Linked DNA regions of Stegostoma tigrinum. The protein of the gene in region 2 purifies or fractionates together with the protein of the main gene of each other region. This does not show direct contact. Links are inferred from orthologs where the notes say so. Each region holds a gene or a part of one and is shown on either strand. Other genes may lie near its edges. The genes, in order: snrnp70 and mrps26.

The links.
Region 1: the proteins of mrps26 (region 2) and snrnp70 purify together in Homo sapiens (affinity purification with mass spectrometry; 3 studies listed by BioGRID and IntAct, counting the BioPlex papers as one, with this or other methods). This does not show direct contact. The link is inferred for Stegostoma tigrinum from reciprocal best matches to the Homo sapiens genes MRPS26 and SNRNP70.

The regions. Positions count from the first base shown.
Region 1 is NC_081391.1:18,610,959-18,627,534, reverse strand, and holds the start of snrnp70 (U1 small nuclear ribonucleoprotein 70 kDa), read left to right. Parts: upstream 1-8,949; 5' UTR 8,950-9,130; coding exon 9,131-9,277; intron 9,278-11,072; coding exon 11,073-11,135; intron 11,136-13,929; coding exon 13,930-13,984; intron 13,985-14,509; coding exon 14,510-14,574; intron 14,575-15,158; coding exon 15,159-15,221; intron 15,222-16,576. UniProt on the Homo sapiens protein: Component of the spliceosomal U1 snRNP, which is essential for recognition of the pre-mRNA 5' splice-site and the subsequent assembly of the spliceosome. SNRNP70 binds to the loop I region of U1-snRNA.
Region 2 is NC_081354.1:182,483,206-182,498,628, reverse strand, and holds the start of mrps26 (28S ribosomal protein S26, mitochondrial), read right to left. Parts: upstream 5,907-15,423; 5' UTR 5,806-5,906; coding exon 5,603-5,805; intron 3,584-5,602; coding exon 3,437-3,583; intron 1-3,436.

The DNA.
Region 1 (16,576 bases), on a different chromosome or scaffold from region 2:
TTTGCTGTTCCCTCTTCAAGCCCAGCTTGGACCTATCTTCTGGCCAGACTCTCTCAGTGGGCATGGTTGTTGTGTGCTGTTTGAAAACTGTGCCATGAGTGGTGACCTGAATAGATGTATGTGGATTTTTAAAAAAAAACTGAAATCTGCATTGTTGCAGTGTGCAATACACATGGGACTTTGCACAAAAAATGTACTTTATTTGTTACAGCAGCAAAGCTGCATTGCTTTAAGCACAAAATATACTGTTGCCACCTCCTTGTGTAACTTATATGTAATTAAAAGGCAACAGACAATGTTTATTAAAGTGTAAATTGCATTTTAAAGTTGGATAATGTTGCATTGCCTCTTAATTTTCTTAAAAAATACTGTTCCAAATGAATGCGATAGGTTTACAGTGATTCTTGTGGCACACGTACTTTTTCAGAAAGCACAAAATTCATATTGTTAATTGCCAGTTTGTCCATGGTCTTGGTTTTAATTTTCAGTTTATTATAATATGCTGCATTTATTCAATGTTTTGCAAATGTATTAAAACATCTAGGAATTTGAGTGCACAATCTGAAGTCCCATCTGCCCTCTTGGATGAGTGTGTGAGAGAGACCAGCACCATTTCAAAAATGAGCAGGGACCTCTACCTGGTTTTCTCGTTGAGGCACCTTAACCAATACCGCTACAGTAAACAGTTAACTGTTCATTACCTGCAGATGCTGGAGAATCCAAGATAACGAAGTGTGAAGCTGGATGAACACAGCAGGCCAAGCGGCATCTCAGGAGCACAAAAGCTGATGTTTCGGGCCTAGACCCTTCTTCAGAGAGGGGGATGGGGAGAGGGTTCTGAAATAAATAGGGAGAGACGGGGAGACAGACCGAAGATGGATAGAGGAGAAGATAGGTGGAGAGGAGAATATAGGTGGGGAGGGGATAGGTCAGTCCAGGGAGGATGGATAGGTCAAGAAGGCGGGATGAGGTTGGTAGGTGGGAATTGGAGATGCAAGGCTTGGGGACTGCTTTGCAGAACACCTCCGCTCAGTTCGCAGTAAACAACTGCACCTCCCAGTCGCAAACCATTTTAACTCCCCCTCCCATTCCTCAGATGACATGTCCATCATGGGCCTCTTGCAGTGCCACAATGATGCCACCCGAAGGTTGCAGGAACAGCAACTCATATTCCGCTTGGGAACCCTGCAGCCCAATGGTATCAATGTGGACTTCACAAGCTTCAAAATCTCCCCCTCCCCCACTGCATCCCAAAACCAGCCCAGCTCGTCCCCTCCCCCCACTGCATCACAAAACCAGCCCAGCTCGTCCCCGCCTCCCTAACCTGTTCTTCCTCTCACCTATCCCCTGCTCCCACCTCAAGCCACACCTCCATTTCCCAGCTACCAACCTCATCCCGCCTCCTTGACCTGTCCGTCCTCCCTGGACTGACCTATCCCCTCCCCACCCATACTCTCCTCTCCACCTATCTTCTCTTCTATCCATCTTCGGTCCGCCTCCCCCTCTCTCCCTATTTATTTCAGAACCCTCTCCCCATCCCCCTCTCTGATGAAGGGTCTCAGGCCGAAACGTCAGCTTACGTGCTCCTGACATGCTGCTTGGCCTGCTGTGTTCGTCCAGCTTCACACTTTGTTAACTGCTCATTTCCTTGCTGTTTGAGGGAGCTTGCTGTGTCTAAATTGACTGCTGTATCTCCTACTTCACAGCGTTCAGAAATATCTCATTACCTGTAAAGGACTTTTTGATGGGTAGTGTTATAGAATGTTATGGATATGTTATTTTCTCCTTTTTACTTGAGCTTGCTGACCTTCGTGAATTTATTACATAATGTGAGTGGTCTAGAGGACCTCCCCAATTGACAAGCACAAATCCCTTGCCATTCCAATCCACATTTTTCCTTCCTTCTGTTGGATTAATTTCCATTAGTGTTCAGTCCAGTTACTGGGATGAGCAGAAAAACTGTTCAATCAGTTGCTTGACCACAAGTTATAGCATATTATCTTTACGCCAAAGTGACCTGTTGTTGAGAAACTGGCATTTTCTTCTTCTCGGTGCTTTCTTATGCAGAATGGAGAAATGGTAATGATGCGTTGGAGTTTTACAGATGTATCACAAAAATTACTTGTCTTTGATAGAATGTTTCTATCTTTATAGGTATCCTTTCCCTTTTAGGAAAGATTGAAAGGTGCACAACCAGTATTAAAGATGTTAAAATGCTTTCACTTGTGCGGTAGCTGGCCACTCATTTTGAAAGCTTAACAAACTGCATTGCTTTAGTTCAAAGGATTGTCTTGTATATTGAAAATCTTGATTTCCTCATAGAGAGGTGTGATATATTTGTGGAGTAAAGGTGCATAAAAGGGAAGTCATTCAGCCCATCATGCATTTGCTAGCTCTTCTGACAGCTGTTGTTGATTCCATACATCACCCATTGCTTGCCAATCATTCCCCTTTCAAGACGTTTTCCAATTCACTTTTGATAGTTGTTGTATCTGGTTCCATTGACCTTTTTCAGACTGACTTTGTGGAAATGTTTACTTTCCCATATTGATTCTGACTGTTAAACACAAAAGGTAGGAGGATAAAGCCATTTTGCCTTTAGACCCTGCTCCACCATTCAATATGATTGTGGTGGATCATCCAGTTCAGTCCCTGTTCCTGTTTTGTCCCCATTCCCGTTGACACCTCTTAGGCCTGAGAACTATATCTAACTCACTGAAATCATTCAGTATTTTTGGCCTCAGCCACTTTCTGTGGCAGAGAATTCCATAGACTTGCAACTCTGGGTGAAGACATTTCTCTTCATCTCAGTCCTAAATAACTTATCCTATGTCCTTAGAATGTGATCCCTGGTTTGGACTCTGGTCCATGATCCCTGCTCATTGCAAATATTCTGTTTTGTTTTTCCTGTCTAGTCCTGTTAAAAGTTTATAGGTTTGTATGAGATTTTCCCTCGTCATTATTCTAGACTTCAGTGAATACAGTCTTAACTGATCTCCTCACTTAATACATCGGTCATACCATCCCAGGAATCAGAATAGTAAACCTCTGCACTCCTTCCATAGCCAGAACACCCATCATCTGGTGAGGAGGCCAAAACTCTGCTAATTGTTGCAATCATTCTCTACCACATCCTGCACCCTATGATCTCCTAAATAGTCCCCCACTGATGTTTGTTCTACTTGGCCTACTGCATTCCCATGGACCAGGTCCAACAATGCATGTGGTTGGACTGTGTACAGGTAAGTGCTGAAGGAAACTCTCCTGAACACGATCTAGGTACACCCTTGCCTGTCACTGTTTCTTATGCTACCAGTATATCAGTCTCTATTTGCAAAATGAAGACCACCCCATTATTAATTTGTAATGTTTGTAATGGGCCAGACCAGATCCCTTCTTAAAAAATGTTTAGAAGGTAGCCTAGACTCCTAACTTTTTCTTATTTTGAAGGTAAATAACAGGTACTGTGGTCCAGATGAAATTTGACTTGTCAAACCACTCAATGTTGAGTAAAATACATTATTTTTTCAAACCCTATAGTTAAAAGTACAAAAAAGAAAGAAGACCTTGGAATAACTTGACTCTCAGAAACATTAACCAAATAATAGGTACAGTAACTCTTACTAATTACCTGTTCTAATATAGTAACATCCCATAAATACATTTTTGGCAAAATGCAAATTCAGAAAACAGATTCTGTCTCGCATGCAGTCCAGCAGCTTCTAAAGAGAACTCCCAGATTTTGGCTGCAATCTAGAGATTGGGTGGGGAAACTAGTTTCTACTTCTTCAAGCCCACAACAGCAATTGCTGCTAAAAATCCCTGGAGAGCTTCACCACACTCACTCAGGCTGCTTTGATCTTTGCAACTAATTTTCTAAAAAGAACCCTAAGGTCTCAAGTTGTTTATTTTCTCAATACTCTTCACCTGTTACCCCAAAAAATAAGGACAAAAACACACCTCTTAAAGCCACAGCATTGTCACAGTTGTCATTTCTCTGTAATTTGCCTGAAGTTGCTTCTAGCAAACAGTTTTTCCAAAATATTCCAGGTGTGGTCTTACCTGTCACACTCACTTAAACCTATAGTATCCCAGTCTAAATTTGTGTAATTGAAGTTCCCCCGCGCCCATTATTGCTATAAATTATGCCATTTTACTGTAATTTCCCTGAATTTGTTTCTAGTGAATGGTTTTTCAAAAAGTTATAATAGCCTTTTTTTACTTTTAATAAAAAAAGCTCCACAGACCGTTGAAGGTGGAATTTTTATTTTTGCTCTTCCTCCACTTTTTGCCAATTAACTTTGCTAAGCATAGTTCAGAACAACTGGTCTTTTCTGAGGCAGTGCACAGGGTTAGTTTAGACCAAATGCAGACTTTCTGGTGGAAAAAACAGTAACGTAGCACCTTTTTTTAGTATAGTGATATGTCTTGAGGCACGATATAGGAACATGATTAGATGAAATATGGCATTGAATCATCTAGTACCGATTAAAGATAGGAGGAGAAATTTTAAGCAGAAAAGTTTGTCAGAAGTAGTGTGGTGGAGAGATTTAGGAAGGGAGTTCCAGAGCTACGTAGATGAAGGCATACTGCTACTAATGGAACAAAGTTAGAGATGCGTTGGAGGGGTGCAGAGATTTTGGAGCATTGCAGGGCTACAGGAGGAATTGAAAGATGAGGATAAGACTGTTTTACAATACAGTCGGAGGTTAGTGGTCTTGTGGTGCAGCGGTAGTGTCCTTATCTTTTGAGCCAAAAATGTCCAAGTTGAAAGTCCCACCTGTCCCAGATGTGTAATATAGCCTGTCTAAAGAGGTTGCTTAAAATACATATCGTTACAGGTGAGAGGATAATTAGACAGGTGCCCCTGAGATTGCATTTTTAAGTCATAAATGCAGTCTTTATATTTGTGTATACTATAGTATTTTGGTTTTATAATTATATAGCAAAGAGCACAGTAAGTTGAGACGTGGAGTTAGTTGGATCACAGGAACTTCGCAAACAACCAAACTAAACAGATGTGAAGGTGAAGCAGTTGGTGCCATCGCTAGAGGAAGAGGGAAATTACAGTGTCAGAAGAACTCTGAAGATTCATCTAGACTCAACTTTAGGTTACCTTCCCTCCGTGGATGCTGCCTGAGCTGCTGCAATTTGCAGCATTTTTTGTTTTCAGCAAGTTATGGTGTGACTTGTTTACATAGGATGTTTTTATTTCAAATGAGGATGTGGAGATTATTAATGGAGATGATGATAATTATGATAACAGAATAAGGTTTAATGTGCAAAATGGGATGCAATGTTTCAATCAGATATTCATAGGTCATAGCTCCAAATCTTCCATACACTATATTAATGGATTCAATGGAAACCTTGCAGAACAGCCATACTAAAGGTCATTGTGATATTGGAGACATGTGCCAGTAGGAATTCACATGTACTAACACATGTTACAAAGCCTGAAGAAATGTGCAGTTGTACCAGTTAGAATTTTGTTAAACTCATGCTGGGTGGTTTCTTAAACGGGACAGGATGAGGCTTAACTTTGTATTTACAAAGTCCACAAAGGAGAGAAAGACTAATTGGCTTAAAAAAATTGCTAATGCATAAACACTAGATTGATCCTGAGTATGGAAGGACCCTTTTCTGAGGAGAGGTACTGTACTTTATTGGAGTTTAGAAAAATGAGAAATGATCATATTGAAACATACAAGCTCCATGGAGGAGCAGACAGGATAGATGCTGCAAGTTTGTTTTCTGCCCCCCGCCCTTGTGGGAAAGTCTAGGATTTGAGACAGAGGTGAGGAATAATTTCTTCTCTTGAAAGATAGTTTCTTCTGTGGAACCCCTTATCGCAGAAGACTATAGAGGATAGGTTGTTCAGTATCTTCAAGGTTGAGGTGGACACATTTAATTGGTAAGGGAATCAAACTTCATGTGGAAAGGTCAGGAAAGAGGACTTGATATTATCAGAACATGTGATCTTACTGGAAGGAACAGACTCAATTGGCTGAATAGCCTACTTCTGCTCCCAGCAACTTTGAGTGAACTATAACACTTCAGTATTTTAGGTTTTATTTCCAAATTTTGTTATGCTCAATGAAGTGATATGCCCCAGTCTGAGTTTGATCTTCCTAATGCATAGGGAGCCACAGCAACCATGGGCAGAGGTGCATGTTGTACAAGGGACACTAGGTGATGTTGCAGTGCTGCTCTTCACTAGGCATAAACAAGATCAGAATTAAAGAGAGACAGGGAAAACACAAGTACAGCCCTGGTCTAGCTGTGTGAATGTTAGAGACATGCAAATAAATGCTTGAAGTAGGCCAACTAGCATTCGAACAGTAGAATTCACAAGAGATAATGGGAACTGCAGATGCTGGAGAATCCAAGAGAATAAAGTGTGAAGCTGGATGAACACAGCAGGCCAAGCAGCATCTCAGAAGCACAAAAGCTGACGTTTCGTAAGGGTCTAGGCCCAAAACATCAGCTTTTGTGCTCCTGAGATGCTGCTTGGCCTGCTGTGTTCATCCCAGCTCTACACCTTATTATCTAGAATTCACAAGAGTTTTCTCCCTGGGCATAAAATGAGGAGCATAGGTAGGGAAGATAGGCAGAATTTTTCCCCCTTGAAGGGAGCAATGACCAGGAGGCTTGGATTTAAGATAAGAGGCAAGAAGTTTGGAGGGGATGTGAGGGAAAATCTTTCTCGTTCAGAAGATGTTGGAAACCTGGAATTCACTACCTGTAAGGATAATACAGGCAGAAACTTTTGTTAACATTTAAAAAGCATTTAGCTGTGCACTTATATGCTTTGGTATTACAAGACGACAGGCCAAGTACTGGAAAATGGGATTAGAAGAGTTTAGGTGGGGCTTTTGACTTGTGCAGATGCAAAGGGCTAAAGGGTCTTTTTCTGTCCTATCAATCTCAATGGCATTAAACAGATTCAAAGATAATGGGAACTGCAGATGCTGGAGAATCCAAGATAATAAAGTGTGAAGCTGGATGAACACAGCAGGCCAAGCAGCATCTCAGGAGCACAAAAGCTGACGTTTCGGGCCTAGACCCTTCATCAATGAGACTTAAAGGTTTTGGGTAGTTTCATCCTTTGCAGAGATTCGATCAATAGTTTGTGCCCAACCGAGTCGAACGCTTTCGCTAGATCGACAAAGACAACTGCGAGGTCCTTACGATTGTGCTTTGCTCCCTTGATGATGTTTTCGAGGACAACAATGTTTTCATTGCATCCAGGAGTGGCTGCTAGAAACCCTTTTTGCCTGGGGTTTATTTCGACTGTTTCACTCGGGCGTTTTGCCATTATTTTCGTGAACAGCCGGAGCAGTATTGGACCGATGGTTATTGGTCGCCAGTTATCAATGCTTTTCAAGCATTCCTTATCCTCGCACTTAGGAATCAGGACCATTCGACTCTTTTTTAGTGAATCGGGGATCATGCTTGACTTTAGCCATAAGGAGAAGAGGCGGGGTAGATGAGTTTCCTCCTGCTCATGGAGTCTTCTTATGTCTTGCAGTTTCAGGCCATCTGGTCCAGCGGCACTGTTCTCGTCTATCCCCTTGATGGCCGCTTCAACTTCCTCTACCTCTATGGGTTTCATCAAGGACCCGTCATCGACTTTGCCAGTGTATGGGGCATACTTATTTATGTTCGATTTCTTGTTTGGTGCAGACAGTTTCTCACGGAAACATGTCTCCAAATCCTCTTTTGAGAGAGGACAAGCGGATGAGGTTGGCGCCCCCATGATCTCACGAGCTAGTTGACGCCGGTTGGTTTTGTAAAGCCGCTGTGTTGCTCTAAACAGCGCTTTTCGTGCTGCCCACCGTTTTCTGGCTCCGGTATTGCTACCGGGCTTTTTGTCTTTCTTGGCCTGATCTTTTTGAGGCCTCTTGTTTTTGTTCTGTCTTTTCCTGCTATTCATTAGTAGGTCGGTAATACTTTCCACTAGTCCAATTCCGAGGGCAAGCGTGTCCGGGTCGTTCCTTGCGCTCAAGAGCTCCTCAGCTTGTGTAAGCTGGTCATCTACGTCCCGATGTTTAGGGATCGAAGCCGGTGTTTTTCGGCTGGCTCTATGAAGGGTCTAGGCCCGAAACATCAGCTTTTGTGCTCCTGAGATGCTGCTTGGCCTGCTGTGTTCATCCAGCTTCACACTTTATTATCTTAAACAGATTCAAGCCTGTTTTTCCCCCTCTCTAGTAGAGTATTTAGCCTTTACATGCAATAAAGTGTTTATATGCAAGCCCAAGTCTGAAGACAGTTTATGACCTTGCCTTCTCAGTCCCTCATGAGCCACAACTCACGTTTGAGTTCAAAACCACATAACAAAACTGTCCTAATATAAAAATTTAAATGCTACAAACATCTTGCACAGGTCATGCAGAGTAATATAACCGATCATTCCAGATGTTAGGAGACCCTTCACCAGCACTGACATTGAGGGGATACTGTCCCTTTAACTGCAGGAGAGCCGGGCAAAGGGTGGGGTGGGGAAAATGGCTGTCACTCAATCTATCCACCCAATTGACATGGTATAGTAAAGATGACAGGCCTTTGTACCAATAGAGGTGTGGCATATGGGCGGGAGCACTGTCCACCCATGTCCTAGCCAATCGGCGTGCGGAAGAGGGGTGGGGCCTAGCGAAACAGCAGCCATTCTAGGGAGGGTAGAGGCGGGTCCTCCTCGGCGCGTGATCCCGCCCACCGCCCTGGAGTGATCGTTATTTTGAAATAAAGGGTAGGTGGTGTTCTGCCACCATGTAAATAGTGCCTAAGGGAGAATGGAGAAAAACAGAGTAAGGTAAAGTCTTATTGAGAGAGAAATGGACTAAGGTATAAAATCACATTGAGTAGCATTATTATCAATGGTTGGAATTGTATTTTACGATGCATTTTCCAAAGCAGGGGACGCCCAATGATACGGAGGGAATGTGAAGAGGCACGGCGGCCATTTTGTGTTTTCCTCGCTGTCGGCGCGCGTGAGGCCTGGTGGCGTTGTTTAAGCTAGTTAGAGTAACAAGTTAGCGAGTTATTCCCCCCTCCCTCCTCAACCTCACAGGCCGAGTAACCCAGAGGGGGAGAGAGAGGGGACAGCGGGGTTTTGATCCCGGCTCCCGCCATGACTCAGTTCCTGCCGCCGAACCTGCTGGCGCTGTTCGCGCCGCGGGACCCGGTGCCGTACCTGCCGCCGCTGGAGAAGCTGCCGCATGAGAAACACCACAACCAGCCGTACTCAGGCATCGCCGGCTTCGTCCGGGAGTTCGAGGTCAGCGCCGCAGCTGTGGGGGAGGGAATAAACCTGGGGTGACGGACAGGGGTTAAAGGGCCCGGGGGGGTGGGGGGGCCTGGAGAGTGGTGCTGATAGAGTTACTGGGGAAGGGGAACTGGGGAGCTGGTAGTGATGGAGTGACTGGAGAGAGGAGGGATCTTGGGGTGACGGGGGAGGGTGCTGACTGGGCAAGGGGAATGGTGGGGAGGGGTGTGACTGCATGGGGACTGGCAGAGGAGAGGGTGCTGGGGGAGGGTGGGAACTGAAGGGAGGGGGAGCCCGTATGGGGAGAGTTGGGATAAAGAGTCGTAACAGGGTGGAGAGAAAGAGAAGTGGTAATCAGGAAAGGCAACTAAAACGGGTGGTTGATACAGTTGAGCAGTGGGTGAAGGGGGGGAGAAAGGAGTAACAGACAGATGTGGAGTTGGGGGAAAGGAAAGACAGTGGGGTAATTGGGAGGCTAAATTGGTTAAGGAGTGGTCATGTGGGGAAAACTGCAGAGGGGGGAGTGGAGGGTAGGGGATTGATCTGGGGGTGGGTGCAAGAATAGGGTATTGGGTGGGGGGAATGGTGAGGAGGTGTTTGGAGGCTGGTGGGGAAGAGGGGTGGATGGAGAATGTGAGATGGGGGAAATGGGCTGGTGAGAATTGTCAGAGGGGATGGGGAAGGTGGGAATTCATGATAGGGAACTAATAAGGACTGAGGGAGGAGGAAAGGAATTGAGCAGATGATTCAAAATGGGGAATGAGCTATGTAGAGTAGGGAAGTGTGAGTAAAGAGCAAGAGCTGTGTTGATATGAAAGATATTGTGTAGGAGGGAACAGTAGTGGAGAAGGTAGCCAGATATGTAAAGGAGGGGTCTTGTGGTAGTGTGAGGAGAAGGGTATTAAAGGTCTGTTTGGGCCAGTGGATAAGGATGTTAATGACTGGTCAAGTGTAATTGAGGTGAGTGGGGCCTTTTGGAACAAGGCAAGTTCTGGGAGAATGAGAAGTTTGGCTTGTGTCCAGTTAGGGGCGTGTATTGAGAATTGGTATTGACGGTGACATAGTTTTGGGATATGGGTTAAGACCTGGTGGATGGGCAGAAGATGAAGTGGACCACAGTACATGTTGTACAATCATGTTGTGGGGTTTGGAGGCGCAACGGTTGTATTTATGGAGTTTATGCTTGTGACTGTTTTTCAGAGAAACTTAACGCTCAACCTTGATTTAGCCCTTTAATCCGTATATACTCCCATTTCTTCCTTTTCACTGTTCATTCTTATTCTTCAGAGTCAGTCTGTTAAGAATCTGGTTTTCTTGAATTTTCTGTTAGCTTTTCCATTCTGTTATGTTCTTTCACTTTCGGATTTATGTCTGGTATCGTCCTGTTCCTGTCTCATTATTACAGTTGCACATGTTCATTCATTATGTTCTGAAACCTAAATTCCTTGTTACCAAGAAACCAGATATTGACATCTTGATCAAAATCAAAATCCTGCAGGTGCTTGGAATTTGAAATAAGGTCTGTCGGCATCTCTTATGGGAAGAATCTTTCATACTGTTGATATATTTAATATTGTTTGAATACTTTTATACCCATAATTCAATTCCACATGAAGGTTGCACCTGAAAGAAGCTTATGCTTGCATCTGAACAGCCGTTTTTCAGTGCATTCATACCACATTTTCAAGCATAACTGGCCTCTATCCAGGAAAAGTGATGATCAAGGAGCCACTTGGAATTGCTAGAATGGAATATAGCAAGTGTAACTTCTGAATTTTTGATCACAGCTTCTTTTTCTGCTATGTAGGATCCTAGAGATGCCCCGCCACCAACAAGAGCTGAGACACGGGAGGAGCGAATGGAAAGAAAGGTAAGAAATTTAGGCCAAATGTACATCCTAGGGTTAAATGTGTTAGGAAAGGCTAGACATTAGAAAATACCTGGAATTATTTGAAGGTCTCCGCGACTATTTTCTGTAGGTTTGTGGACCCACATTCCTTTCAGCTGTTTGTTGATCTGGCCATCATTTCTGTGGGTGCTTGCGTGACCTGTAAGTGTATTCAGTCCATTTGATTTTATTACAGGGTCTTCATCAAGCCTGATTATGTTCCTAAGAATTGTGTACACATCTGCTTATCAGCAGTAGTCTCTATAGACTTCTGCCTCCTGTTACTTGTTTCTACCAATGAAACCACCTAAATTGTTAGAAAGTAGGCATTCAGCTTTTTATGCCTTTTCCACCAGTTATTTCCCTCAACAACACTTTTTTTGCCTGCTGAAATATTCAGTGACTTCCCTTGGTAGGCAAGAATCTCTCTTTAAAAAGTATTCAATGACTCCTCATCTACCGTTCTGAGGAAAAGAGTTCCACTGACTTGCGACGCTTCAGGAGGAGAAAAGATTCTCATCTTTATTGTAAGTTGGAGACCTCTTCCCTTTAAACTGGCCCTAAATCACTTTGTCACAGGCATTCAACCTTTCAGAGTCCATCCTGAAAAACATCTGGGGAGGTGATGGCCTAGTGATATTATTACTAGACTATTGATCCAGAAACCCAGCTAATGTTCTGGGGGACCCGGGTTTGAATCCCACCAAGGCAACCTGGCTGATTACCGTCCCACCGGTCTACTCTCAGATATCAATAAAGTGATGGAAAGTGTTATCAACAGTACTATGAAGCAGCACCTGCTCAGTGATGTCCAGTTTGGGTTCTGTCAGGGCCACTCAGCTCCTGATTTCATTACAGCCTTGGTTCAAACATGGAGAAAAGAACTGCATTCCAGAGGTGACAATGACGGCCCTTGACATCAAAGCTGCATCCAAATGAGTGTGGCATCAAGGAGCCCTAGCAAAACTGGAATCGTTGCGTATTGGGGGCAAACTTTCCAGTGTTTGGAGTCATACTTGACACATAGGAAGATGGTCATGGCTGTTGGAGGTCAGTCATCTCAATCCAGGACACCTGCAGGAGTTCCTCAGGGTAGTGTCCTTGGCCCAACCATCTTCAGCTGCTTCATCATTCACCTTCCCTCCATTTGTAGGGTCAGAAGTGAGGCTGTTTGTCAACGATAGCGTGATGTTCAGCACTATTCATGACTCCTCAGATATTAAAGCAGCCAGTGTTCAAATGCAACAAGCTTGGACAATATCCAGGCTTGGGCTGACAAGTAACAAATGTTATCCATGCCCCACAAATGTCAGGCTATGCCCATCACCAATAAGAGACAATCTAACCAAACCCTTTGACATTCAATCATATTACTATCACTGAATTCCCCCAGCATCAACATGCTGGGGGTTATCATTGACCAGAAACTTAACTGGACTCACTACGTTAACGCAGTAGCTACAAGTGCAGATCAGAAGCTAGGAATACTGTAGTGAGTAACTCCCTTCCTGACCCCTCAAACCCCGTCCACCGTCTACAAGGCACAAGTCAGGAGTGTGATGGAATACTCCCCACTTGCCTGGATGAATTCAGCCCCAAAAACACTGGAAGCTTGACATCACCCCGGACAAAGCAGCTCGCTTGATTGGAACTACATCCATAAGCATCCACCACCAACTGTCAGGAGTAGTGTGTACTGTGTGTTTGTGGGGCGGTATGGTGGCTCAGTGGTTAGCGCTGCAGCCTCACAGTGCCAGGGACCTGGCTTCAATTCAGCCTCCGGCGACTGTGTGGAGTTTGCACATCCTCCCCGTGTCTGCGTGGATTTCCTCCGGGTGCTACGGTTTCTTCCCACAATCCAAAGATGTGCAGTCTAGGTGGATTTGCCATGCTAAATTGCCTGTAGTGTTCAGGGGTGTGTGGGTTATAGGGGGATGTGTCTGGGTGGGATTCTTCAAGGGGCGGTGTGGACTTGTTGGGCTAAAGGGCCTGTTTCCACACTGTAGGTAATCTAATCTAAATCTAATCTAATCAACAAGATGCATTACAGAAATTCGCCAGAGATCATCAGACAGCACCTTCCAAACCCACGACCATTTCCATCCAGGAGGACAAGGGCTGCATATAGGAACACTACCACCTCTAAGTTCCTGTCCAAGCCACTCACCATCCTGACTTGGAACTATTTCACTGTCACTGAGTAAAAATCCTGGAATTCCCTCCCTAATGATGTTGTGAGTCACCCTACAGCTGGTGGACTGCAACGGTTCGAGAAGGCAGCTCATCACTACTTTCTCAAGGGCAACGAGGGATGGGCAAGAAATGCTCGGCGGCCAGTGACTCCCTCATCCCACAAATGAATAGAAAAATCATTTGGAATCTGTGTTTCAATAGGATGACCCCCCCCGCCCCCGCCTCAGCCTCATTTTTCTCAAACATCTGAAGATACAGGTCCAGTTTGTTTTTTCCAGCCTTTCCTATTAAGATAAACCTAGCCCCCAAATCTCTGGAATCAATTGGGTTAATCCTCTGTTGTTCTACACCACTGTTAATTCAAAATACGATAGAGAAAATTTAACCAACTGTGTATGTAAATGGTTCATTTAGTTGCTTCCTCATTGGCTATTGGGGAGCTAATGACTGACCTTATTATACATTTTACCAAACCTGGTTGCAGACCAAATTATATTCTACTTCCAGAATGCATATGGATTAGCCAGTGACACTGCTGACTTTCTCCTGTATGGTGGCAGACATTGTGATTTTCCTTTTACAGAGGCGTGAGAAGATTGAGAGAAGACAGCAGGAAGTTGAAAATGAGCTGAAAATGTGTAAGTTTATTGGAGGGTGTGTGGAAAATAATGGAGGCTGATGAACTGTACAATGTCAATGGGTATTAAACTCCGGATTGGATAGGATCAAGCTCTCTGTCATCTACCGTCGGGCTGTTTGAAGTGGGCCCATTAATTAGACGTTAAAGACAGCTGTCTGTTCACCCCTGGAAATGAATACTAATTTCTATGCCTCATTCTCCACACTGCCTTGCATAAAGCAAAATGTGCAGTAGCTGATTTGCACAGCTACTTTAGCTAAGTACTAGTGGCTATGACAACGAACATTTTTGTTTTCATGCATTATGTGTGGCCCTAAAATACCACAGGAATGTGATTAATTTGGTTTGGTCATAAGATACTTGAACAGATGACTAATAGGTTGGTTAAAGGGGTGCCCTTCAGGTGCGGGGGAGGGATGAAGGTGTATTGGTTCAGGAGGGAATTCCAGAGTGTTTGAATTGTAAACAGTAATTGTGAACTTTAACACTGCAGCATTAAAGTTGCTCTTTTTCTGATCTGCAGGGGATCCCCATAATGATCCAAATGCACAGGGTGATGCATTCAAGACACTGTTTGTTGCCAGGGTGGTAAGTTTGAGGTTATTTTTTCCCTTTTGTTTTTAAAGGAAAAACAAATGCATTGAAAAATGGGCTGCAATTCAATCGGTGGCTAGTACTGTCACTTTTTACCCATAATGGACGATATATAACTGAGATGTCTCATGTCATGAAGTTTGTGATCATTACTATTCCTTGGATGTTGTTTACGTCAAGTACCAGCAAAGGAAGAATCAAAATATTTCATTTGGTGGGGTGGTGTGGTGATGAATCCACTTGCATGTTATTGTGAGGTAACTGAGGAGTGTTTTCTGTACGTTAGAAGAGGATCCTCCAATTACCTCTGCCTTTAACCTCTAAAAACCATTAGGAAATAAACTCCCAAGTAGAAGCCTTTTGTACAAGAAAATAATTTTATTATAGAATTGTAAATGAAGTTTCTATTGTTAATTCATCGCATCATATATAACAGTACCAGTGAGTACTGTGACTATGCCCCAGATTTTAATTATTTAAACATTGACATTTTTTCATGTTTTTCATAACCTCTTCTGATCAGTATTGTTTATATTTACACTTATGAATAATCAGCTCCTGCTTCCTTTATACTACAGAACTATGATACAACAGAATCCAAGCTGAGGCGTGAGTTTGAGGTCTATGGCCCCATTAAAAGGGTAAGCATCCTATAATAAGAGTTGGTTTCAAATTTTGGTACCACTGCTGAATACAATAAACACTAATTCTGTGATCTTTTTAAATCTGCATGTTGCATATGTTCTGACAGCCATGCAATGGACGAGCCTCCAGAACAGGATAGCAGCACAGCAAATAAGTAAATAAATTCTTCTTGCTGGTGACAAAATTTAATCCTGCTTGAGAATGAGCTTTTTTTAAAAAAAAGTCCATTCCATAATGTTAGTGAGCTGAAAACATAAGGACTCTGTAGGAAAAAGTGGAAATGCACAGCTCAGTCAGCACCTGTGAAGAGAAAATGTGTAATACTGGTGTGTTTGCAAATAGTCACCAGAAAGACAGCATCTGTGGAGAGAGAAAAAGAATTCACTTTTCATATTGATGATCTTGCATTGGAATGAGGGCAAGTTAGATGTGACAGGCTTTTTTTAAAAAAATGATGGGAACATTGGGAAGGAAGAACAAAAAGGAAGTTCTGAGTGGGGGGTGGGGGAGGAGGAGAAGAAGAGCCGGAGAAGTGAAATGACTGAGTTACGTTTGCGTTCTGATGTGGAGGAGACTGCCTTTTAAAGAATAAGTACAATAAACTTTATTGAATGAAGTACAGGTAGTTTATTTTATCTTCAAATGTTTAGAACTGTGGGTGGTGGGAAGAATGGAGCTGAAAGGATAGGTTTTCCATTTCCTTTGTTTTTAATGCATGGCAAATGATTGTTAGGTGTGCATGAAGAATGGGCTAGAATGTTATGGAGAGAATACTTGTTTCAGCAGACAGGAGAGTGTGGTATATTTAGCATTGTGCTGGAAGTTGTGAAAATGATGGGTAATCATCCACTAGGGACTGTGGTTTAGAGAATCATGATACTGGGTGGAAGTGGAAAAAGTGAAAGCAGAAGAAAATCGAGTGCATTGCTAAGTGCAGTGGAGGAACGCATTTGGTTGGGGGGACAGAAAGATGGCTTAGCATCTGTAGATGCAAAAATCAGAATCAGTGATCTTTACAATTGCTAATTGACCAATTGTACATTTTCATATTCCTGATTTCCATCTGACTTTTTTAATATATATATAGAGTGAGAGATGGTTATTATTTCAGAAAAGAGTTTAACAAATAATCTAAATCTAATCTGTCAAATAGTGGACCTTTATCAGCATCCACACTTTAATATAGATGGCTGTAAACATTTTCATTTTTGAAGAGTGTCATTCTTTATTCAGTTTTAGCACTGTCTTGGTCTGGAATTGTTTTAAAGTCTGTTATGAGATCAGCTAATGTTTAAACAGTGATAGTAACACCGCCTTACCTTAGCTGTGTTTTTTTTGTTTGAGCTGAACT
Region 2 (15,423 bases):
TGAAGTGTGAGACTCAACAACTTATATTTATCTGAGATAACAAGGTGTAGAGCTGGATGAACACAGCAGGCCAAGCAACATCAGAGAAGCAAGAAAGCTGACGTTTCAGGCCTAGACCCTTCTTTCTAGTGCTTTTAACATGACGAACTGTTCCAAGCCCTTCCCGAGGGCATTATAAAAGAAAGTATGATGCTGAGCTACACAAGGTATATTAGGGCCAAATGCTTGCTCAAAGGAGGTAGATATCAGGAATTGCCTTCAACGAGAATAACAACAGATAGACAGAGTGTTTGGGACATAGGTAACTCAAGACAGGCACCAATAGTGGAGTGATTAAAGTTGGGAATGCATGGAGACCAGTATTAGAGATCTGCAGGTATGATGGATGATAGGCTGTCTGAAGATGACAGCGATTGGGAGGGCTAAGGCCGTGGAGGGAAATTTTAAAATCAAGACATTGGGACGACATGGTGGCTCAGTGGTTAGCACAGCTGCCTCACAGCACCAGAAACCCGGGTTCCATTCAGCCCTCGGTCAACTGTCTGGGTGGAGTTTGCACATTCTCCCAGTGTCTGCGTGGGTTTTCTCCTACAGTCCAAAGATGGATAGGCTAAGTGGATTAGTTGTGGGAAATGCATGTTTACAGGAATAGAGTAGGGGCGTGGATCTGGGTGGGGTGCTCTTTGGAGGGTCAGTGTGGACTCAACAGGCCACATGGCCTGCTCCCACAATGGCAGGATTGTATGTCCTGCTTGACCAAGAACCATTTATAGCTCAATAAGCACAAGGTGACAGGGGAATGGAGTGTGGTGTGCGTTACGACACAGGCCACAGAGTATTGGATGATGGCCAAATACTGTGAATGCTGGAAATCTGAGAGTTATAGGGCACAGTAGAGGCCTTTCAGCTCATCAAGTCTGCAGCAACCTACCTACACTCTTCCCACCTTCCAGCACTTGGCCAAAAATCTTGAATGTTATGACTTTTCAAGTGCTCATCCACGTATTTTGTAACAGTTGTGAAGTTTCCCACCTCAATTGCCTTCCTAGGCAGTGCATTCCAAACCCACAGCATTCTCTGGATAAAAATGATTTTCTGCAAATCCCCTCTCAACATCCTGCCTTTCACATTAAAATTATACCCCCTTGTTACTGACCTTTCAACGAAGGGGAAAAGCTGCTTCCTATCCACACTGCTCATAATCCTACATACCTCTATCAGATCCCCTCTCAGCCTTCTCTACTCTAAAGAAAACAACTCAAGTTTATCCAGCCTCTCATCCCAAGTAACATCCTCGCAAATTACCTCTGCAGCCCTCCAGTGCAATCACATCCTTCCCATTGTGTGATGACCAGAACTGTACACAGTACTCCAACTGTAGCTGAACCAAAGGTTTGTAAAGCTCCAACATGACTTCCCGGCTCTTATAATCAATGTTATCATTGATTAAAGGCGAGAGTGTCCTTTATAGGGTCTTAATGACCCTATAAACCTGGTGTGTCACCTTCAGGAACATGTAGGCAAGCATCCAGAGATCCCCTGTTCCTGAGCTTCCTAGCGTCCTGTCATTCATTGAGTGCTCCATTGTCCAGTTCCATCTTCCAAAGTGCATTGCTTCACACTTATCAGGGTTAAATTCCATCTGTTATGGTCTGCTCAACTGACCAATCCATCTCTATCTTCCTGTAGCCTAAGGCCTTCTTCCTCACTAACCACCTGACCAATCTTTCAACTTGCTAATCACTGCCCTTCCTTCTCACCTACATCATTTGTAAGTACACAAACATTAAGGGGCCCAGCATTGATCCCTGGGGTATGTCACTGCACACTGGGCTCCACTCACACGAACAGTGACAACACCTTCTGACTCTTACCACTAAGCCAATGTGGATCTAATTTTCCCAAGTTACCGTGAATCCCACATGCTTTTATCTTCTTTATCAGGCTCCTATGTGGGATCTTCACAAAGGCTTTTCAGAAATCCACATAAACTACATCAACTGCACCACCCTCATCGACACACCTGGTCACCTCCTTAAAGAATTCAGTCAATTTTTAAAAGGTATGATCTCACTCTGACAAAGCCATGTCAACTATCCCTGACCACCAAACCTTGCCTCTCCACTTTGAGATGAATTCTCTTATTCAGAGCTTTCCCAGTTGTTTCCCTATACTGGAGAAACTCAGCAGGTCTGGCAGCATCTGCGAAGAGAGAAACAGAGTTAACGTTTCAAGTCCAGTATGACTCTTCAGAGCTCAGTTTTGGATAACCTCAGAGGTGGAATGTGAAAGACTAACTCAAAGCGAGCTGGAACAGTCAAGCCTAGTCGAGAGGTAATGAAGGCACGATTTCAGCAGTAAACGTACGAGACAGGCGAGGTTGAGTGATGTTACAGATGTGGAAATAGATAGCATTTCAAATGCCACAAGCGAGAGCTTGGAAGCTCACATTAAAGATCAAATGTGACATCAAGACCATGAACAGACTGGGTTAATCTCAGATGTTGCTGAAACAAGTCTGAAGTTAAATGAAAAGAGATCGGAAACAGGGACCCAAAAAATGGCTTCAGTCTTCTCAGCGTTTAAGGATTTCTGCTCATTCAATTCTGGACGTCACAGTCATACTGCATGGAGACTGACACTTCAGTCCTACTTGTCCACATCGAGTTTGCCAAACTAAACTGGTCCCATTTACCTGTGTTTGGCCCACATCCCTCTAAACGTTTCCTACTCATGGACCTGTCCAAAGGTCTTTTCAATATTCTAGCTGGACCTGTATCTACCACTTCTTCTGGCAGTTTATTCCAGATACAAACCACACTCGGTCAAAACGTTGTCCCTCGGGTCCCTCTTAAATCTTTCACCGCACCTTAAAAATATACCCCCTAGTTTCGAAATCCCCCATCCTAGGAAAAATACTTTTTCTATTCAATCAATGCACTCATTATTTTACAAACTTCAATAATGTCAGCTCTTAACCTCCAGCGCTCCAATGATCAAGAGCCCCAGCCTTTCCCTCCAATTCCTGCAAGATCCTGGTAAATATTTTCTGAACCCTCTCCAGTTTAATAATAGTCTTTCTATAATAAGGCGAACAGGACTGCACACGTCACTCCAAAAGTGGTCTCACCAACATCCTGTATAACCTCAACATGACATCCCAACTCTTACACTCAATGGGTCTGAGCAACAAAGCCAAGTGTGCTAAGTGTCTTCTTAACCACCCTGTCGACGTGTGATGCAACTTTCAAAGAACCATGTATCTGAACCCCGAGGCCTCTGTTTGACAACTAAGCAGGCTGACAATTTTGTAACTCAGAGTCTAGAAGAAGTCATACCATACTCAAAATATTAACTCTGTTTCTCTCCCCACAGATGCTGCTGAGTTTCTCCAGCATCCCATGCTTGTTGTTGTATTAAAAGATGTTTGACTCACCGTATTTTTCGGAGTCGTTCATTCTCCAAATTGTTGAAAGCCATGAGCTTCTGATGTTCTTCAGCTTCTAACTGTGCTCGTTCCTCGGCCAGAGAGCCCACTTCCTCTTCATAACGCTTGCGTAGCATTTCCTCCTTAAACTCAGCCCTTCCATTCCAGAGGTTGAAGAGAAACAAGATCAAATTCTGCTCACTTCATCTTTTGGGTGTGGACAGACAATACAATTTCAAACCCACCAGCAGGTATCAGAGGCTTAAGCCCAGTCCTGCAACTTCCAGTTCCCTGATATACGGAACGATCAGCACTCATGGTGACTGACTGGGTAGCACTCTTTGTTCAGAAAGTGTGGGTTCACAGCCCCACTTCAAAGACACAAGAAGAAAATCTGTACTGACACTACAGATGCAACGCTGAAGGAGTGCTGCACTGTTGCAGGGGCTATGTTTAAAGTGAGAACTGAGAGCAAGGCTCTATCTGCCTCCACAGGTAGCTTTTAAAGATCCCACAGGTCTATTACAAAGTACAGCAAGGAAACTCCTTGGGTTATGACCAGCTTTTGTCCTCAAGAAACAGATGATCTGACCATTACAAGTTCACACATTAATGCAATTGAGTACGTGGAACTTTCTTCTTGACAAGAACGATTATGCTTTTGGCACATAGAAAATAGGAGCATGTATAGACCATTGTGCCCTTCAAACCTGCTCTGCCATTCAATACAATCATGGCTGAACATCCAACTTCATACCCGGTTCCCTATTTCTCCCCATATCCTTGATACTTTCAAGGTCAGAATTCACACAACACCAGGTTGTAGCCCAACAGGTTTATTTGGAAACACAAACTTTCAGAGCCACATTAACACCTGACAAAGGACTATAATAGACCAGCCCAACACCATCAGCTCCGCATCATTGACATACCAGTCTTAAAAAAAACTTGGTCTGCACCTCTTGAAAGTCTCCAGAGCTTTGGTCTCAACAATTTCCTGTAGCAAAGAATTCCACGGGCTCAACACTGTCTGGGTGAAGAAATTCCTCCTCATCTCTAAAAAGGCCTTACTTTGAGACTGCGAGCCCTGGTTCTGGGCTCGTGTTTCTGTCCATTATTGACAGGCTCTTCACTCTCAATCAGTAGTCGGCCTCCCCACCTCTTTATTAAGATAGGTGTCTCTCACCCACTGTCTATTACTGATGGGCTGTCCTCCAAAATGTCCCCCCATCACTCAGGGCTCTCCCTACAGCCTTATCCGCGCCCCCCTCCCCCCCCATCACTCAGGGCTCTCTCCACACCCCGACCCCCATCTATTACCCGAGGGCTCTCCCCAAGCCCACCCCCCATTGCTCAGGGCTCTCCCCATCCCCATCATCCTCCATCCCCCCCATCGCTCAGGGCTCTCCCCATCCCCATCATCCTCCATCCCCCCCATCGCTCAGGGCTCTCCCCATCCCCATCATCCTCCATCCCCCCCCCCCCCCCTCATCGCTCAGGGCTCTCCCCATCCCCATCTCCTCCATCCCCCTCTCCCACCCCCAACCCCCATCGCTCAGGGCTCTCCCCATCCCCATCTCCTCCATCCTCCACCCCCACACCCCCCCATCGCTCAGGGCTCTCCCCATCCCCATCTCCTCCATCCCCCTCTCCCACCCCCCAACCCCCATCGCTCAGGGCTCTCCCCATCCCCATCTCCTCCATCCTCCATCCCCCACACCCCCCCCCCAATCGCTCAGGGCTCTCCCCATCCCCATCTCCTCCATCCTCCACACCCCCCCATCGCTCAGGGCTCTCCCCATCCCCATCTCCTCCATCCTCCATCCCCCACACCCCCCCCCCCATCGCTCAGGGCTCTCCCCATCCCCATCTCCATCCCCCACACCCCCACATCGCTCAGGGCTCTCCCCATCCCCATCTCCTCCATCCTCCATCCCCCACACCCCCCCCCCATCGCTCAGGGCTCTCCCCATCCCCATCTCCATCCCCCACACCCCCACATCGCTCAGGGCTCTCCCCATCCCCATCTCCTCCATCCCCCTCTCCCACCCCCCAACCCCCATCGCTCAGGACTCTCCCCACCCCCCTCTCCTCCACGTCACTCTGGGCTCTCCTCAACACGTGCGCAGCCCGACGTTCCCCACACACCACACCGCCCCCTCCCCCGGCACTGACCTGAGGGCCCCGATCAGAGCCACGTGTTGCCGGTACCGCTCCTTCACCACCAGCAGCTCCGCCGGATCCACCGGTGTCGGGACCCGCAGCCGATCAGCCTTGGATTTGGCGGGCGGGTCGTTGCGGGACTTGCGGCCCCGGAAGGGGATCCTGAGGGCGGGCCGACAGCGGCCGAGCAGGAGGGGCCGGCACTGAGCCCACATCGTCCCGCGGACCTTGTACCTGGGGACGGGGAGAGTCAGCCGCCGGCACCGAGACAGGCGATCACCGCCTCTCACATGGGCGCCGCCATCTTACCGGAAACCGCGAGTACTTCCGCCGGCCAAAGGTCTTAAAGCTGCAATTCCTATTTTTCCCCACTTTTCTGGGACATGCAGGAAGGGAACAAAAGCCCCTTTCACTTTAACCACTTCAGGCAGTCTGCCAGCCAGCAAACATTCTTCTGAAAGTAACACCTCGTGGACATGAATTTTCAAATTAGAGTTGCATGCTTCTCCAGAGCAAACTGTAGAAAGGTGGTTGTGGCGGGGGCGGGGTGTGAGGGACGTGTTGCGGGAAATAGGGGAGACGCGGTCTATCTCCTTCCCAAAATCCACAAACCTGCCTGCCCTGGTCGACCCATCGTCTCAGCCTGCTCCTGCCCCACCGAACTCATCTCCACCTATCTGGGCTCCATTTTCTCCACTTTGGTCCAGGAACTCCCCACCTACGTCCATGACACCATCCACGCCCTCCACCTCCTCCAGGACTTCCAATTCCCTGGCCCCCAACACCTCATATTCACCATGGACGTCCAGTCCCTGTACACCTGTATTCCGCATGGAGATGGCCTCAAGGCCCTCCGCTTCTTCCTGTCCCGCAGGCCCGACCAGTCCCCCTCCACCAACACCCTCATCCGCCGAACTTGTCCTCACACTCAACAACTTCTCTTTTGACTCCTCCCACTTCCTACAGACTAAGGGGGTGGCCATGGGCCCCAGCTATGCCTGCCTCTTTGTAGGTTACGTGGAACAGTCCCTCTTCCGCACCTACACAGGCCCCAACCCCCACCTCTTCCTCCGGTACATTGATGACTGTATCGGCGCCGCCTCTTGCTCCCCAGAGGAGCTCAAACAGTTCATCCACTTCACCAACACCTTCCACCCCAACCTTCAGTTCACCTGGGCCATCTCCAGCACATCCCTCACCTTCCTGGACCTCTCAGTCTCCATCTCAGGCAACCAGCTTGTAACTGATGTCCATTTCAAGCCCACCGACTCCCACAGCTACCTAGAATACACCTCCTCCCACCCACCCTCCTGCAAAAATTCCATCCCCTATTCCCAATTCCTCCGCCTCCGCCGCATCTGCTCCCACGACAAGACATTCCACTCCCGCACATCCCAGATGTCCGAGTTCTTTAAGGACCGCAACTTTCCCCCCACAGTGATCGAGAACCCCCTCAACCGTGTCTCCCGTATTTCCTGCAACACGTCCCTCACACTCCGCCCCCGCCACAACCGCCCAAAGAGGATCCCCCTCGTTCTCACACACCACCCCACCAACCTCCGGATACAACGCATCATCCTCCGACACTTCCGCCATCTACAATCCGACCCCACCACCCTAGACATTATTCCATCCCCACCCCTGTCGGCTTTCTGGAGAGACCACTCTCTCCGTGACTCCCTTGTTCGCTCCACACTGCCCTCCAACCCCACCACACCCGGCACCTTCCCCTGCAACCGCAGGAAATGCTACACTTGCCCCCGCACCCCCCCCCCCTCACCCCTATCCCAGGCCCCAAGATGACATTCCACATTAAGCAGAGGTTCACCTGCACATCTGCCAATGTGGTATACTGCATCCATTGTACCCGGTGTGGCTTCCTCTACATTGGGGAAACCAAGCAGAGGCTTGGAGACTGCTTTGCAGAACACCTCCGCTCAGTTCGCAACAAACAACTGCACCTCCCAGTCGCAAACCATTTCCACTCCCCCTCCCATTCTTTAGATGACATGTCCATCATGGGCCTCCTGCAGTGCCACAATGATGCCACCCGAAGGTTGCAGGAACAGCAACTCATATTCCGCCTGGGAACCCTGCAGCCTAATGGTATCAATGTGGACTTCACCAGTTTCAAAATCTCCCCTTCCCCTACTGCATCCCTAAACCAGCCCAGTTCGTCCCCTCCCCCCACTGCACCACACAACCAGCCCAGCTCTTTCCCCCCACCCTCTGCCTCCCATAACCAGTCCAACCTGTCTCTGCCTCCCTAACCTCCCACCCCAAGCCGCACCCCCATCTACCTACTAACCTCATCCCACCTCCTTGACCTGTCCGTCTTCCCTGGACTGACTTATCCCCTCCCTACCTCCCCACCTATACTCTCTCCACCTATCTTCTTTTCTCTCCATCTTCGGTCCGCCTCCCCCTCTCTCCCTATTTATTCCAGTTCCCTCTCTCCATCCCCCTCTCTGATGAATGGTCGAGGCCCAAAACATCAGCTTTTGTGCTCCTGAGATGCTGCTTGGCCTGCTGTGTTCATCCAGCCTCACATTTTATTATCTAACAATTTACACTGGGACAGGAAGAAGGGACTGATTGGTCACCAATTGATAGTTAATATCCTAATGAATATAAGTTGAAAAGCCTCACCAGCATGTCAGAGACAATAGGAACTGCAGATGCTGGAGAATTCGAGATAACAAGGTGTAGAGCTGGATGAACACAGCAGGCCCAGCAGCATCAGAGGAGCAGGAAAGCTGACGTTTTGGGCCGAGACCCTTCATCATGAAGGATCTCGGCCCAAAACGTCAGCTTTCCTGCTCCTAAGATGCTCCTTGGTCTGCTGTGTTCGCCCAGCTCCACACCTTGTTATATTACCACCATGTCTTTGTATTTTTTTGAATGAATGAATTAGCTTTATTGTCACATATACTCAGATGAGTAATGAGAAGTTTATGAGTTGCCACTCACAAAGGTATCTAGATAGAACTTCATTCCTGACAGATTAATTACAGTGTAACAGTGTCACTGACTCACAGTGTCATCTTACGTACAGAGTACTGAGGTCTAATGCCTAGTTACGGTTTAGAGGATTAAAGAAGAGAAAAGTTACATTGCAGCTAGACGGTGTCTAACCACAGGTCAGAGAAACAAGAAGCAGAGATAAAAAGATACACATTGCAGTCTCTCTCCAAGGGTTTTCTGCGGCAGACCAGGACCGGGGGTGTCTCCACATGGTCTGACCACTGTTCCTCACTATTTCTCCACACAATGTTTCAATTGTAGGGTATCTTTTGAACGTCGCCTCTAGGTGGCACAAAGTAAGCAGATGTAGTTCGCAAGTGATGGGAACAGCCGCCTGTCGAGAGATGGCACTGTAGAATATAAAATCAAGTACCTGGTGTGACAAAATAAAAAGAATTTTGTTTGAAGTTGATATCTCACGTTCTTCCAGTGCAGGCCAACAACACCCTGCACTGCAACACCATTTCAGGTGGAGGTGAAAGCCCACGTCATCCATGCCCCTGCCACTGCCCCTCACTCCCACACTCACATTTCGGACCAACCTTGTGCCTTTGCTCCTGTTTCCCGTTCCTTCATTCCCAGACACCCTTCTCCCCCTCCAAATCCGGATGCAAGCCAGCATTCCTCCACACTGTCTCTTCAATGCCCCATGTGACATTTGTGCCCCCCCACTCAGCTCTGCCTGTCCTCACCCTCTGACCCCTCATTGACGGTGCTACCCCTGCTCACAGATCATTGTTTCACCAATGGTGCAGATGCTTCTCCTGCCTCTGCCCTATAGGTCGTGCCTGACAAACCTGTTAGAATTCTTTGAAGAGGTAACAAGTATGTTAGACCAGGGAAACCCAGTAGATGTTATCTATCTAGACTTCCAAAAGGCCTTCAATAAGGTGCCTCACGGGACACTGCTGAGTAAGGTGAGGGCCCATGGTGTTCGAAGTGAGCTACTGGCTTGGATTGAGGATTGGCTGTCTGACAGAAGGCAGACAGTTGGAATAAAAGGCTCTTTTTCGGAATGGCAACCGGTGACAAGTTGTGTCCCACAGGGTTCAGTGTTCGGGCCGCAGCTGTTCACTTCATATATTAATGATCTGGATGAAGTGACTGGGGGCATTCTGGCGGTTTGCCAATGATACGAAGATAGGTGGGCAGGCAGATGGTACTGAGGAGGTGGGGGGTGCTGCAGAAAGATTTAGACAGTTTAGGAGAGTGGTTCAGGAAATGGCTGATGAAATTCAATGTGAGTAAATGTGAGGCTTTGCACTTTGGAAAAAAGAATACAGGCATGGACTATTTTCTAAACGGTGAGAAAATTCGTAAAACAGAAATACAAAGGGATCTGGGAGTGTTGGTCCAGGATTCTCTAAAGGTTAACTTGCAGGTAGAGTCCGTAATTAAGAAAGCGAATGTAATATTATCTTAAGAGGATTGGAATATAAAAGCAGCGATGTGCTTCCGAGGCTTTATAAAGCTCTAGTTAGGCCCCATTTAGAATACTGTGTCCAATTTTGGGCCCCACATCTCGGGAAGGACATACTAGCCCTGGAGCATGTCCAGCAGAGATTCACACGGATGATCCCTGGAATGGTAGGTTTAGCGTATGATGAACGGCTAAGGATCCTAGGATTGTATTCATGAGAGTTTAGAAGGTTGAGGGGTGATCTAATAGAAACTTACAAGATAATGTATGGCTTAGAAAGGGTGGACGCTGGGAAATTGTTTCCTTTAGGCAGGGAGACTAGGACCCGTGGGCACAGCCTTAGAATTAGAGGGGGTAAATTTAAAATGGAAATGTGGAGACATTTCTTCAGCCAGAGAGTGGTGGGCTTGTGGAATTCATTGCCACGGAGTGCAGTGGAGGCCGGGACGTTAAATGTTTTCAAGGCAGAGATCGACAAATTCTTGATCTCAGAAGGAATCAGGGGCTATGGGGAGACTGCAGGGAAGTGGTGTTGAAATGCCCATCAGCCATGATTTAAATGGTGGAGTGGACTCGATGCACCGAATGGCCTTACTTCCACTCCTGTGTCTTATGGTCTAATGGTCTTAAGAGCTCACTGGCTATATTTGCACAGTCGCCATTTTGTCACATGTGATAACCACTCCAATTATTTTCAACAAACTTTAAATTCTTAAACAAATGGTGTTACCGTTCCAGGAGTGGCCTCCTCTTGTGCCGGAATAAGTAAGCTTTTAGGGTTGTATGCACTTACAGCCCAGACTGAGGCCGTTCAACCCATCATGTCGGCACTCCTCAACAAAGGTCTTATCACATTAAACCCATTTTCCAGCTCTTGGCCCAAAGCCCTTGTGGCTATGGGAACACAAGTGAGTATCTAAACAACTGCTTAAATGTTGTGAGAGTTTCTGACTCAACCATTTTTATTTGTGAGCGAGTTCCAAACTCCCAAACACCCCCTGATTTTAAAAAAAACTTCAGCTCTCCTCCTACCCTTTTACCTCGCACCTGAATCCATACCCCCTGGTGGAATGACCCATCTGCTCACAGGAAAAGGTGTCTTCCTATTCATCAGATTAATACCACTCATAACCAACACTTCTATCAGGTTCCCTCTCATATCTTAAAGAAAAGCTTAAAGAACTGCAGATGAAGGCAATCAGAAAGAAAAACAGAGGTCATAGAATCACCCCAAGCAGGCCATTCAGCCCATCAAGACCACACTGACCCTCTGAATAGCATCTCAACCTGTCCGATCCCCCTGCAACCCTGTGACTCTGCATTTCACATGGCTAACCCACCATGCCTGCACATTCCTGGACACTATTCACAGTATCCCACCTAATATGTGTGCACTGTGGGAAGAAACCAGCACAAACATACGCAGACACGAGGAGAATGTGCAAACTCCACACGGACAGTCACCTCAGGCTTGAATCAGCATTGCTAATCACTGCGCCAATGTGCCGCACCATTGCTCGAGAAACTCAGCAGCATCTGTGGAGAGAAAGCAGAGTTAACCTTCTGGTCCAGTGGCCCTTCTTCAGAGCATAACCCCAGCCTATTCAATTTGCCTCGTAGCTCAGGTACATGTTGAGGGTGAAATGGGGGGTTGTGGGCACTGTGGGGGTGGAGCATGCTGGATTGATGTTGATGGGTTTGCGCATTGGTGACGGTTGAATGGGAATTAATGCTGGACAGGGCACAAGCAGAAAACAACAGGCAAGGCGGAGAGGGAACCGCAGAGGTCAGGGGGAGGACTTATGTGAACCGGAGATGGGTTACATGTGACCAAATGCATATTATAGCTAAACAGCAACACATTTCTCAGTTACAGCGTTCACTCTGACTCATATCCCTCCCTCATTAAAAGACAGTCAATAATTAGCACACTTCCTGTTATGTTGCATTACTTGATTCTTTTTGAATTGTGACTTTGCATTGGTAATTGGATTCTATATTTGGGGACACTGACTGAACGTTTTCAGTGAATAAAAATTGACAAGGTGGCACCACGAATGCAAGGAAAATCCCAGGAGATTTTATGGCAGTGATATCTTGGATTGGTTGTCGGCACAGTGAGAGAAAGTGGAGAGTCTTTTCATCACTTGTACATGGGATTTGGGCTAGGCCTATATTTATTGCTCATTCCTAAGGGTATTTGGGATTCAACCATATTGCTGTGTGCCTAGAGACACATGTAGGCCAGACCAGCTAAGGATGACACATTTCCATCCCTAAAGAGCATTAGTGAACCAGATGGGCTTTCCCTGACAGTCGACAATGGTCATCATTTTAATTCCAGATTTTAATTAAATTGAAATTTCATTCACCATCTATCATGGTGGGATTTGAACCCAGGTCCCCAGAACAATACCTGAAAAATACTCTAGCAAGAACACCACAAGGCCATCACCTCATCAGGTTGCTTGTTTCTAATTGTCCCTGAACTGAGTAGCTTCCTAGGGCCATTTCAGAGGGCAGTTAAGAGTCAACTACTTCGCTGTGGGACTCTAGAGTCATAAATCTGCCAAACTTGGTAAGGATGGCAGATTTCTTTCTCTAAACGTCATTGCTGAATGCGATGGGATTTTACAGCAATCGCTAAAAGTTGGCTGCAGAGGTCACCATCACATATTCTAAATTTATTACTCTAATTCAAATAGCACCAGCTGCCATGAGAAAATCACTGTCCTTCTGACATTGCAGCGCAGGTTAGCAGTGCTGGTAGTTATAGTCAGAACATCACCCCCTGCAAATTCCCTTTCTAAATAGTTGACATCCTGACATGGAAATATATTGCCGTTCCTTCAATGTTGTTGGGTCAAAATCCTGGAATTCCTTTTTTAATGTCATTGTGGGCCAACCTGCACCAAATAGATTGCAGCATTTCAAGAAGTCAGCTCACCGTCACCTTCTCCATGGCAACCAGGGACAGGCAATAAAAACCAAAAGAAGTGTGGATGCTGTGAATCAGGAACAAAAGCAAAGTTGCTGGAAAAGCTCAACAGGTCCGGCAGCACCTGTGGAGGAGAAAACAGAGTTAACGTTTCGTTAACTGAAATTATTTACTTCTAGTAGTCGTACAGGTTAGTCAATGAGTCTACAATTAGCGTCTCCATAACAAATGAATCGGCTGCATGAAATTAGGACCTTCGTTGAAATCTAAATGTAATAAGATATATTTACAGTGGTCGGGGGGGAGTGTTTGTGTGTGTGTGTGTGTGTGTGTGTGTGTGTGTGTGTGTGTGTGCGCGCATGCGTGTGCGTGTGTGTGTGTGCAGCAAATATATGTAATCCCCTCTTACAAGCAGAGGGAGCCTCAAAAATCCCCCATCAAAATCAGCGTTCGCTGTGAGTACATTGTCACTGTCATAACAGCCTTACATAGGGAAGTTAACTCATGTTCTCAACACACTCCAACTGTTTCGCCTCAGATTGCAAATGTCAGCCTTTGCTCAGTGGTTAGCACTCTGGCCTAAGGGTTAAAAAGTCATGTGTTCTTGTCCCACTCTGTGTGTCTTAGCCCAAGCGATGAAGTTGTTTCTAATTTTCAGGGATCTTGAGATACAGGGGTAGTATCCCTCCTCTGAGCCCCTGGGCCTGTGTATAACTGAACATGTTGATAACAGAAACTATCTAAAAACTGGCAGCAGCGAAGGGGCAGTGCTACATTGTCAAGAGGGGCTTTCTTCAGATAACATGTCGAAGCGAAACCTAGCTACACTCTCCGCTGGCTGTAAAAGAGCTTGTACTTGTTACCAATCAACTTGACTGTTCCAACGCATTCCTGATAAGATTACCAGCTACTTCAGGATGAGAGTGATAGATTTCTAATTAGTAATGGGTTGAAGGTTTATGGAGAGTGGGCAGGAAAGTGGAATTGAGATCAGCCATGATCGTATTAAATGGCAGAGCAGGCTTGAGGGGCTAACTGGCCTACTCCTAGCTTCTGGCTCTTATATTCTAACCGTCCATCCTGCATTAATTTGAGGTCACGTTGAGGTTATGTGGCACCATAATTCAGTCCTCTCATGGTAACTTCAGCCAGTGCAGGAATAGAAAGCTCACTGTTGGTTTCAGTCTGCATCACAACTGGCCATCCAGCCAATGGAAGGAACAAATCCCCAATCCCTTAAATCTCATCATAAGGTACCATCACCTTGGCATTCCTGCAGTGCCCCAAACTGGGACTGTGCTGTAAATAAAACACCTCCATTCAGTAGGACCTGATATTGTTTCACTCTTTTTTTCAAACTCTTCAAATTGAATTTTAAAATGTAGCCATGGTCGTAATTGAAAGCAAACTCAGCAGTCAATTAGTCAAGATCCCAGCAAAGAGCATTGTAGTAACAGCCAGATATTAACCAAGCACAGGAAGAAGCCCCTTGGCCCACCATGTCTATGCTGACCATGATACTATTCTAAAATAATCCCATCTGCCTGCACATGTCCATATCGCTCTGTTCTCTGCCTGTTCATGTGTCTGTCTAAATGCCTGTTCAATGTTGCTATCATATCTGCTACTACCACCTTTCTTGGCAGAGCATTCCAGACACCCTATCACACTTAAGAAGCTTTCCTCACAAATCTTCTTTAAAACTTTCCCCCTTTCACATGAAACTAATATTTGATATTTCCAACTTCATTTCAAAGTGCCTAACATCACATTTTCTCACCCTGTAATGCATCTGCCACTTCTTTGCCCAGTCTCCTAGCCCGACCAAATCCTTCTGCAGCCTCCCCACTTCCTCGATATTATCTGTCCTTCCATCTATCTTTGTGTCATCTACAAAAGTAGCAACATTGCCTTCAGATGCTTTGTCCAGAACATTGTATAACATGAATCGTTTTGGTTACAGCACGGACCCCTGTGGAAAGCTGCCCGTTGCCAGCTTCCATTCTCAAAAAGACTCAGTTACCCCCATTCTCTGCTTTCTTGCAATAATCTAATTCTCTATCCATGCCATTACCCTGTCCGTCACACCATAGTCTGTTATTTGCAGACTCATGTGCAACTCCTTGTCAAAAGACTTCCGGAAATCCAAATACAATTCATGATCCTTTTTAGCCTTCCTAATACGTTGTTTAAGTAATTTCCTGCTTCCTTTATATTCCACAAGGGCCTTCTCTGATTTCAGTTTCCTAAACCTTATATATACTTCTTTCTTTTTCACTAAAGCTTATCTTGTCATTCTGGTTCCATAATGTTGCCATCCTTATCTTCCATTCTCACAGGAACATGCTGGTCATGAACTCTGATCAATTGATCCAATGATCAGGTGGGCCAATGGGCCAAGGAGTGGCAGATGGAGTTTAATTTAAGTGCATGTGAGATTTTGCATTCTAC